2 linked regions of the Yarrowia lipolytica genome follow. The protein of the gene in region 1 interacts with the protein of each later gene in a biochemical or structural test. Links are inferred from orthologs where the notes say so. Each region holds a gene or a part of one and is shown in the gene's direction. Other genes may lie near its edges.

Region 1 (4,585 bases):
GGAGAAATTGACTCCTTCCAGCATGTTAACAACAAGGTGTATCTGGCTTGGTTCGAGACCGCCCGTGTTAACATGTTTCTCAAGTGGGGCACGGACTTTCAGCGGTTCATGAGTGGCCAGTCGGTGGCACCGGTCATGCGGTCGGTCAATCTAGCTTGGCGATACCCCATCAAATTCCCCGACCAGGTGACGGTCGTCCACAAAATTGACCAGATTCTCGATGACCGGTTCATTCTCAAGGGCGTCGTGATAGGCCACAAGTCCAAGAAGGTGTGTGCACGAATTGAAGAGGTGATTGTCGCTGTCGATTACACTAAGGGTGCCACCAAGTGTTCTATTCCGGACGATATGAGAGAGTTTCTGGAGCAGAAAAAGAGAGAGCAAGGCGCGGGGGAGTATGATGCGCAGATTTAGCGTAACCCATTCGGAGCAGCCGAAGCCGACGAGAAATGGCAGAAGCCGACGATGAATGGACAATTGTTAGATGGGTGCTGTGTCAGTACATGACTCTGGGGTGCTTCCTTTTGCACAATAGCTAGCTGACAGATGCTGACAAGTGCTATCGAAGCAGGGAACTTGAGTCTCTGAGACAGGCTTCATAGATGGCACCTTTCTCGAGTCATTATAGAATAGATTGTTTTGGAATATTTGAGAAATTGTACAAGTAAGTTGAATCGGATCGCTCAGAGAAGTGTTCTTATAGTCACAGTCTCCTTAGTGATTTGAAGACTATGCAAGTACGAGAACAGTATGTCCAGTAAGCATATATATCTGTACTTGGTGACGGTGCCATCACTGAAATTTTCTAGAAAATGGGTTAATGATACACTCTATTGCAGTACAATACAAGACCGAAAGTGTACCACTGCCTTCTTTTTTTTTTTATTATTCTTCTGGTATCAACTGACACTTCATCTAATGTGGAGACCATAACAGTTTTGCACAAGTTCATGTCCCTTCACGTAGCAGTTTAATACGACATGTGTACTGAAAAGTACATATCCTGATTAAGAATCCGCTGCTAATTCTAATGGTATAATTCAACCTACCCTATGAGTGACAAAAATGTCTTTTTGTGTGCGTTTTTGTTTGCCATGTTCACCAGAACCTGTAGATTAGGCGAATACTCTCAACCGACACTTTTGTATAGAGCATAGGTTTTTTTTGTATCATTCGAATCAGCTTGAAATTCCAAGTCCAATGATGTACCTCTTATCAACACTTGACATACAAAGGTTTTCAGAATTGTGTGTTTTTTTCTACCCCGTCTTTCTCCAGACCCAAGAGAAGCAGAGCTAACCCAAGCCCAGATCAAACGAGCTAACGACAGACCAGTCTAGAATCTCATTGTTCTGTGAATTAGACGCTTGTCTAACCCGTAGACGCACGCTAATGTCGAGAAAAAAGCGTTTTTTGCAGGGATCATTGTCTGGTTTCGTCGTTCTCTCTATAATCTTTATTGACGAAGTCACTGGTTGCTTGGGTCCCTCGTTAGCAGCATTTGAATGACATATGGTGGCAGAAAAAGGTACCAATCAGCTCAGATCTTCCGGCTGATTCGATTAAGACCAAAATATCCACCTCTTTTCATACAATTTCTGCGTGCTTGGTGGACCTACATTCCCATGTTGTCGTCGTCCAACTGCCGCGATTAGGTTACAGCTGATCCTTCATGTCGTCGTCGTGCCCAAACATCAATGTTACAAACTCTGGATGGGGGTTATCGGGCCTTGAGTAGGCGCGAGTGCTTAGGATTGCAGCAGACCTGAGTTGTTGCACACAATTCTCAACAAGTCAGGTGGCAGCGAAACCAGGCAAAACTATATATATTAAAAAATTGGAACAATTGGAAAAAACGGGAAAAACATGGAAATGCGGGTCTTTAAGTATTCTCGTCAAGAAAGACTCAACAACCTCCATCGACAGCCAGTACTGTAGTTCGTCGTGACACAATTTGTACACAGAAATATCCAGTTCACGCACAAATCAGTCAATCAGTAGAAACACGTGACTGTGCAACGAAGTGCATGTTTGGCCATCCACGACAGGCCAAATGACAGAAAATATATGCCCCCGGGTGATTGCTCTTTCCATCAGCAATTACATTTCTCGTACATTAGACCATCCTCCATTCTCCGTATTGCTTACTCATCCATTACCAAGGGGCGTCTTCTCCCAACACCTGTCATCAGCATTATTCACACGTAAGGTATACGCAGCCTTTGAGCTTAGCAGCAGCACGTCCAGCACAACCACAGACTTACTTGTAGTACCAACACAACTACGAGGAGTAGGCACTGCACACACAATTACATCCATGTCAGGCCTGCAACGACGACGTGTCAACAACACGGCTTCGGCCGACGAGACCTGGGGCAGCTCTGAACGACAGACGTCGACCGTGCCAAAGACGGACGAAGACGGTCCCAAAATCGGATACGACCCCAAAGACATACGCACGGCGGAGGAGGAGGAGAAGCAGCCGCGCCTGACGCTCATGGAGGAGGTGCTGCTGATGGGGCTCAAGGACCAGCAAGGGTATCTGTCTTTCTGGAACGACAACATCTCGTACGCGCTGCGGGGCTGCATCATCATGGAGCTGGCTCTACGTGGCAAGGTCCAGATGGTGAACGACACAAACCGCCGACGCTTCCCCATTTCGGACCGGTACATTGAGGTCATCAACGACAAGCTGACAGGCGAGGCGCTGCTGGACGAAACCATCAAAATCATGAAGGCCTCTGAAAAGCTCACCGTCGGCACCTGGATCAATTATCTGTCAGGCGAGACCTGGAACCTGTCCAAGATCAGCTACCAGCTCAAGCAAGTGAGAGAACGGCTTTCCAAGGGCCTGGTCGACAAGGGCATTCTGAGAACCGAGAAACGCAACTTTTTCCTTTTTGATATGCCCACCCACCCCGTCGCAGACACGGGCGCCAAGGAGGACATCAAAAAACGCGTGCTGTCGCTTCTCACCGCACGTACCGTTGTCATCAACCCATCTCCTTATTTGCCCGAGGGCGTGCCCTTCCGATACCTCCGATCTGTCGGAGCAGTATGTGGCGCCTATGCTGCCAACGTGCTTGAAAACGTGCTCGCAGATCTGAGCTACGAGATGCGTGACCAGGCATTTGCACGAGCTGACGATTTGTTGAACGACTTTTCCGAGTGGCCCTTTGTGGAGAAGCCTGGTCAGACCCAGAACGTGGGCGTGAACTTGTTCCAGGAAATCAACGACGAGATTGCAGCCAACCCGAATAAAGAGCTGCAGCTGGAGGTGGTGGCTGGAGTGTTTGACATTTTTGCAAACTTGGACAGCATTTTGTGATGTACGATCGCAGCGACAATGTCAGAAGATGCGAAGGATTGTCGCCTGTAATGATACTAGGCACGTTATAAAGTAAATATGAACGAATGGTCAACGAGTGTACGAGTGGAGCAAGTACATGGGGGATTAATGAGCTCTTGACATCTATGGGAGACAGTCGTAGACTGGTGATTGACTGGTAACCGTTGCGACGCAATTCGACTTTATTGAAAAGGTGAACAAACGAGTGCTTTTCACGATTGAGATGTAGATCTTTATTGGTATTGACTGCATCTGGTTCCTTGTACAGATGCTGAAACGTCGGTAATAGTGGAAGGACATCTTTTTACAAGTGTGTAAGTGCTCTACGGTTTGATTAATGCCTCCATAAAGAACACCAGTGGCTGTAGTCCAATGCTACTGCAATGTTAGACAAATATATTGTTTCCGAGTGGCTGTTTCAATCAGTTGTTGTCTGTTGGATCACTCCACACACCTCCTGGGCCCTTCCCAAGGTGAGATCAGCGGCAAGCTCTTTTTTTTTGGTAATCTCTTCCGTCAGGAACGGAGCTGCTTGGTTTTCCACGATTCGACACAGCGATTTGTTACTTGTCTGGCCCGTCTTTAGCCACCCCAGACCCACAGACGAACAGTCATACGCCCATTTTGGGCCATTGAAAAACATCATGTGGAACCCTGATTCGCTGGAGGAGGTTCGATCCGCTGTTGGTGAACACTATGTCGTCCTCCAGAATCAAGCATCTCTCCTTCCCACCTTTGGCACACAAGTCGAGCGCCTGCTGGTACTGCACTGTACTTTTTAGTGTACTGTACCCCAGCTCGTCAAAGTGGATCTGATTCTCGAGTATTGTCCGGCGACTCCAGCTCTTGAGTGTCGATTCACAAGCGGTCACGTCATCAGCCAGAACAATGCCAGCCGGAATTATCGACAGAACGGTCCCATTATTTGGTCAAAATGTATGTGTCGAAGGTGTTGGAAAATGCCAAAGCCAGTGGGGTCCTGGAGATGGAGAGACCGCTGGGCAATGAAACAGAGTGAGACGGATGTCAGCAGAGCAATCGCAACCCTTGCCCATCTGTTCATGTCGAAAGATCGAGTAAGACGTTCTCTTTCCTGCTACTCGCGTTAGCTGTATAATCAGTCCGTATGTAATTTACGTCGAGTCATTGAGTGCGATAGGATGACTGACAGAAACATCCGTGAAGTAGCTACATGGTAGACTACAGAAATCCACTTTTTCCTGAAAATTATTGTTT
Region 2 (6,233 bases), on another chromosome or scaffold:
AAGCGACTTCAAACAACCAACCTACTTTCAACCAAACTACACTTATGCCCAGAGTCCTTCAATCGCTCACGGCTCCCGTCCCAGTCGCCACTCGATTGGGTCGCCCACTGAACTCCACCAGAGGTTTCTGCCATCCAGTGGTTATCAGCCTACCGCTGGATCTTCTCAGAAGTCGTCCCCCCTACAGACTGGCTACATTGACGGTCTATATTCGACCAAGGCCTCATCCCGGCCTTCTGAATCCCATTACCCTTTCAGCCCAGACCACTATCAGGGAATCCAGCTGGACGAGAATGGCCGAGTTGTGGGAACAAGCCTGTCATTAACAACTCCTCCAACTCCCTCTGGCCCAAGCTACCAGGGCGATTTCCAAAAATACTCACATCAGGAGACTCCTGCGCATCTCCCCTTTGAGCCACAGTCGTCTTCGCTGACCCGGCCCTATCAGTCCCGACACTCGAGTCTGGGCCTTGGACAGCCTGTCAGCTATCTACAGAGTCTTTCCTCGGCTCAATCTCAGAGTCGCAAACGTCACTCTCTACCCGCTCCCTCTGTCGCCCCCCTGCCTGAGGATGGAGGCCCCATTCCGGACGGAAAAGTAATGGACGACCCACACGCCATTGACGCTCACGATCTTTTCTGGGCCAAGACAATCACACCCGAGTTCCACAGTGTCGTCGAGCGGAAACGAAAGGAGAACAAGATCGACAGCTACAATCCCTTTGCAACATTCAACCAGTGGAACGCTTGTGCTGTTTACGAGCGCAAAAACAAGCACACTCTGCCACAGTACAAGGTGCGCAAGCTGGCGGACGGCACTCGCGGCATTTTGAAGTACGCCGTTGAGAGCAAGGTCCCTGAGCACCTGCGGTGTCTTCCCTCTTCGGAGTTGCTGAACTCGTGCTATGATTGTGGACAGAGAGGGGAACATGCTGCGACCTGCGAGTTCCATCGCGAGGTTGGCGATGAGAGTTATGTTCCCGTCAGTGGCGATCCTGAGAATCGGAAGCGGAGGTGCGTGGGAGGTGGGGGCAGCAACACTTTTGCTGCAGATTACAACTACAAAGACCCATCTGAGAACAAGGAGGACCACTTTGTGACCAAAGCCTGGGACACAGTCAAGTGGAATGTGGTGAAGCGGCCGATTATGGCGATGCGGGCGAGAAGAAGGCGATAGAACTAGGAGGGTGGGGGGAAGACCGAACTATGATCGAGAGAGCGATCAATTTCAGCCCATAGAACTATCCGTAGCGACTGCGGCAACTACGCGTCATGATGAGTGATACGGGGTGGGGTCGTTAATGTTTTGCTGCAGTTGAGCTCTGTGCTGAATGTGATGGTATTCAGTGAAGTATCTTCATAATTAATGGGGTATATATAAAGTGTGTGTTTTAGGGGCGGTTTCAGTGGTATATACCTGTTTCTATCAGAAGCAGTCTTTGCTTGTTGATGGTAAATATGGATAGTTAAAATAAAAAATAAAAAAACAATAGAGACTTGTTGGTTGTGTCTACCTTATGTTTTTTTTCGCCGTAGTCTCAGAACTGTCTCAGAACTGAGTCTGTACAACAGTTGGATCAGGTGGGTGAAAAGATGGTCGATTGACTGGATGTTGGTGATTGGTGATGATCACGTCTTTGAGACTCTACTGTGAAATTTACAGCTCATTTTGATCAAAACTGGTTGGTTTTGCATCACATGAGTGCGCAGGAGTTTTGATAGTTGCAGGAGAGGAGGTGAATGGGGAGAGGTTGGAGAATGTGGTTGATTTTTCCGAGAGTCTCAGAAATTTGGCGGCATGTTTAGATCGTTGAGATTTTTGTGATTTTTCCAATTTTTTCCCTTTTTTTTTTCTGATTTTTCCTCATTTTCTCCATTTTTCCCCATTTTTTCCGATTATACACCCATGAACGTCCTGTTCCACATCTCCAATATTTCACCACCGGGTCTCGAAACTTTATTTACGCCGTACAATAAATTAGGGTGTTTTGGCGCGATGGAGGATCGGTTTAAATGGTAATTCTGGGGAGATAGAAATCCGCAAAATTATTACTTTCAAAGACAATGTTGTGTTATATTTAATGTAATTTTTCCCACATTTTTCCCCATTTTTTTCACTTTTTCAGGGTCTATTTCAACTTCTACCTGTATAACCGTATAACCGCACGTCGGATGTACTGTACTTGTACATAGAGCCAGATCAGAGGGCTCAGAAAAGGCGCTCGCTGGGTGTAAAAAGCAGAAAAAAATGGGTTAAACACATATTATAGCGATTTCATATTTCTTTTCCTTGCCCAATTTATTTTGCCGTCCAAAAAAGTGCCCTTTTTCGACCCACAGCTCCGGCACCACTCCTCCCATCCATTCCACCTATCCTACCCTAACCCTAACGAAAGAAACACGTCAGATACAGTTGTTACACCGACACACAGCACACATACATTGTCATCCTACACCACTCCCCACAATGTCAGCGCTCAGCTACAAGAAAAACGACGACATTGAGTCGGGCGCGCTGGACAAGATGACCGTGTACCAGGAGTGTCAGCGGGCGTTTGCCGAGTCGCCCATCAACGCGCGAAAGTGCCGAAAGCTGCTGGCCAAGCTGATCCACCTGCTCACCATCGGCGAGACCTTCAGTGAGTTTGAGGCCACGGGTCTGTTCATCGCCGTGTCCAAGCTGTTCCCCCATAAGGACCCGTCGCTGCGGCAGATTGTGTATCTGGCCATCAAGGAGCTGGTGCCTCTGTCCAACAACGACGTGATTATGGTCACCTCGTCCATCACCCGAGACGTGCAGGGCTCGTCGGACCTGATCTACAAACCCAATGCCATCCGAGCACTGGCGCGGGTCATTGACGGCTCGTTTGTGCAGGGCATTGAGCGGCTGATGAAAACGGCCATTGTCGACCGTCACACCTCCGTGTCGTCGGCCGCCCTCGTGTCGGCCTACCACCTGCTCCCCATCGCCAAGGACACCATTCGCCGATGGGCCGCCGAGGTCCAGGAGGCGGTCACGTCGCAGAAGAACTTCCCGGCGGGTGACCCCTGCCCAACTACGCCCCGGCCCCGCCGTGCTGGCCCCCTACCACGCCCTGTCGCTGCTGTACGAGCTGCGAGCACACGACCGAATGGCCCTCATCAAGCTCATCCAGCAGTTCTCCGGCGCCTCGGCCCACCTGCAGTCGCCCAACGCCAATGTCATGCTCATCCGATTCATCGCCAAGGCTGCCAACGACGGTGCCCACCGGCAACAGCTCGTGGCCCTCCTGGAACGATATCTCGGCCACAAATCCGACATGGTCGCCCTCGAGGCCGCCAAGGCCGTGCTCACCCTCCGAGACGTGAGCCCTAAGGAGGCCGCCTCCGCCATTGAGTCGCTGCGGGCCTTCCTGGCGTCTCCTCGAACCATTGCCCGGTTTGCAGCCATCCGAATCCTCAACCGGTTCGCGATGACCAACCCCGGCGCCGTGGCCGTGTGCAACGCGGAGATCCAGCCCTTGATCACCGACTCTAACCGGTCCATCGCCACCTACGCCATCACGGCGCTGCTCAAGACCGGCAATGAGGCCTCCGTCGACAAGCTGGTCACCCAGATCAGCGGGTTCATGTCCGACATCACCGACGAATTCCGAATTGTGGTCATCGATGCTGTCCGGTCGCTAGCGCTTAAGTTCCACGCTAAAAAGTCTACCATGCTGCAGTTCTTTGGCAACACCCTTCGGAACGATGGTGGCAGTGCCCAATACAAGGCTGCCGTGGTTGCCGCGCTGTTTGACATGATCCGGTACGTGCCCGACTGCAGAGACACCGCCCTCGGCATTCTGTGCGAGTTCATCGAGGACTGCGAGTACACCGAGATTGTTGTTTCCGTCTTGCATACTCTCGGACAGGAGGGCCCTGCCGCCGCCAACCCCACAGTGTACATTCGGTACATCTACAACCGAATCGTGCTTGAAAACGCTTTCATTCGAGCAGCTGCTGTCTCTGCACTGGCCAAGTTCGCGCTGGTGGATGACACCTCTGTCAAGAAGTCCGTCAAGGTGCTGCTGGAGCGATCTCTGGAGGATGAGACCGACGAGGTGCGAGACCGAGCTGTCATTGCGCTCAAGCTGCTCGAGTCTGGTGACCAGGCCCAGGCCAAGGCATACATTTCGCCCGAGTCGCGATTCTCTCTCCCCATTCTGGAGCACAAGCTGGCTCTGTATGTGACTGGGTCCGGTGCCGACTTTGACACGCCCTTTGACATGTCCTCTGTGCCTCTCATCACCGACCAGGAGGCCCGAGAGGCTGCTCTCAAGGCACACAGAGAGACCACCGAGGCCACCCCTGTGGTCAACGGCGGAGCTGGAGGACCCACCCCTGCTTCTGCGGCTGCTGCCACCACCGCCAACCTGGCGTCCAAGAGCAATTCTCACGAGGCCGCTATCCAGCGTGCCGAGAAGTACGCTGCCGAGCTGGCCGCTATTCCCGATCTGGCAGCCTTTGGCACTCCTCTCAAGTCTTCTCTTGCGGTGGCTCTCACCGAGTCCGAGACTGAGTTTGTCGTGACTGCCATCAAACACATTTTCCCCAGCCACGTGGTGCTGCAGTACGACGTGCACAACACGCTTCCCGACGCACAGCTCAGCAACGTGTCAGTGGTGGCGTCTATTGAGGACGACAGCGAGGAGCTGGTGGAGGAGTTCATTCTTCCTGTGGACGAGCTTGGTCCCGATTCTCACGGCACCGTCTACGTGGCCCTCGAGAAGACCGAGGACCATCTTGCTGTTGCATCGTTTGAGAACATTCTCAAGTTCACTCTCCATGACATCAACAAGACCACCGGCGAGGTGTCTGAGGACGGCGACGAGGACGAGTACCAGATTGAGAACCTGGTGCTGGGTGCTGGCGACTACCTCGAGGGTGGCTTCATCGGCTCGTTTGACCACCTGTGGGACGAGCTGGCCAACACCGAGGCGGTTGACACTGCCACTCTGTCCGAATACAAGGGTCTGGAGGAAGCTGTCCAGTTTCTCATTTCACAGCTGTCTCTCACTCCTCTGGAGTCGTCTGATGAGGTCACCTCGGCTTCCACACATACTCTGAAGCTGTTTGGAAAGACTCTGACTGGCGAGAAGGTGATTGTGCAGATCAAGATGGCCGCCTCGCAGCGAACAGGAGTTGTGGTGCAGTGCAAGGCTAGATCGGGTGATGAGGAAGTGGCCGAGTTGGTTGCTGGATTTGTGGGCTCGTTGTAAGTGCGTCTTTGTTAATGAGCGAACAGGCCAGATAAGTGGCCTTTGGTTAGTAAGATATATAGTGAAGGATTATTGCAAGTTTGGTGTAGTAGGTGTGATTGGGCTCTGTGGATGATGATGGCTAGAACGTCCACGTGAAGGGCTGAGGAGCATGCTTTAGGAGGATGATTCAGCTAGGGAACCTGCTCAAAAGGATGATTCATTGTTTCTATCCAATTCAAGTCCATTTCAACTGATTCTATCACGATTCAAGTTGTTTTTATCACGATTTAATGTGATTCTGTAATGTCACTCTGATAAGACCAATATTCCGCGAATTGGAGTTGTCCGAGTGAGATGCAGTTGAAAACTATTAGAGGCTTCTGGGCATGACTAGAATCCGATACCACCTTAGTAAAGTGTATTCGACATACTCTTAATCTGTAGTCTCAGGAAGCGAGAACAGTTCAAACTGACTTCAGCTTGTGACACCAATTAACCACATCCACACACAAACACCACGCCGAATTGGAGACAGAACATGATTGCGTCCGCCGCTTTGTTGTGTTTGTGTTGTTGGATTTGGGGCGAGTGATGTGAAGGAAGAAGAGTCGAAAAGCGCGAGGTGGGTGTTAAAGTAGAGTCGCCATAGTGTGGTAATGATGACTGGTCATATATGCATGTTTCCAAGTAAAGTTAAGTAAAAAGGGAGGACATTTTTTTTGCTATTATGGCTACGGAATGGAATTTTTGTATGACAAGAATGATAATTTATTACATGTTTTCATAGTCCTCGTTTCCAGCTACATTTCTATACAACTTTTACTTCTTCACCACCTCTGCAACATTGGATTTGAACCCCCAGTAACTTTTTCCTTTAACAAATTCCCAACTATAACTAATCCAACTAGCCTCGTTAATTGTATGCTTCCATCTCGCTCAATAATACTCGGATTGCCACCACGAGAGTTGCTTTCGCTTCGGAATCGTCCGCTCTCTAAAATGGGCCCTTCT

The links.
Region 2: the proteins of YALI1_D04533g (region 1) and YALI1_F04895g form a complex in vitro, tested with the Saccharomyces cerevisiae proteins (2 studies listed by BioGRID). The link is inferred for Yarrowia lipolytica from reciprocal best matches to the Saccharomyces cerevisiae genes VPS74 and SEC21.

The regions. Positions count from the first base shown.
Region 1 is NC_090773.1:450,833-455,417, reverse strand, and holds YALI1_D04533g (uncharacterized protein), read left to right. Parts: upstream 1-2,053; coding exon 2,054-3,328; downstream 3,329-4,585. Other genes in the region: YALI1_D04556g (uncharacterized protein), read left to right, coding at 1-414; YALI1_D04512g (uncharacterized protein), read left to right, coding at 3,733-4,095, 4,147-4,458.
Region 2 is NC_090775.1:486,464-492,696, reverse strand, and holds YALI1_F04895g (uncharacterized protein), read left to right. Parts: upstream 1-2,467; coding exon 2,468-3,074; intron 3,075-3,120; coding exon 3,121-5,240; downstream 5,241-6,233. Other genes in the region: YALI1_F04920g (uncharacterized protein), read left to right, coding at 602-1,177. UniProt on the Saccharomyces cerevisiae protein: The coatomer is a cytosolic protein complex that binds to dilysine motifs and reversibly associates with Golgi non-clathrin-coated vesicles, which further mediate biosynthetic protein transport from the ER, via the Golgi up to the trans Golgi network.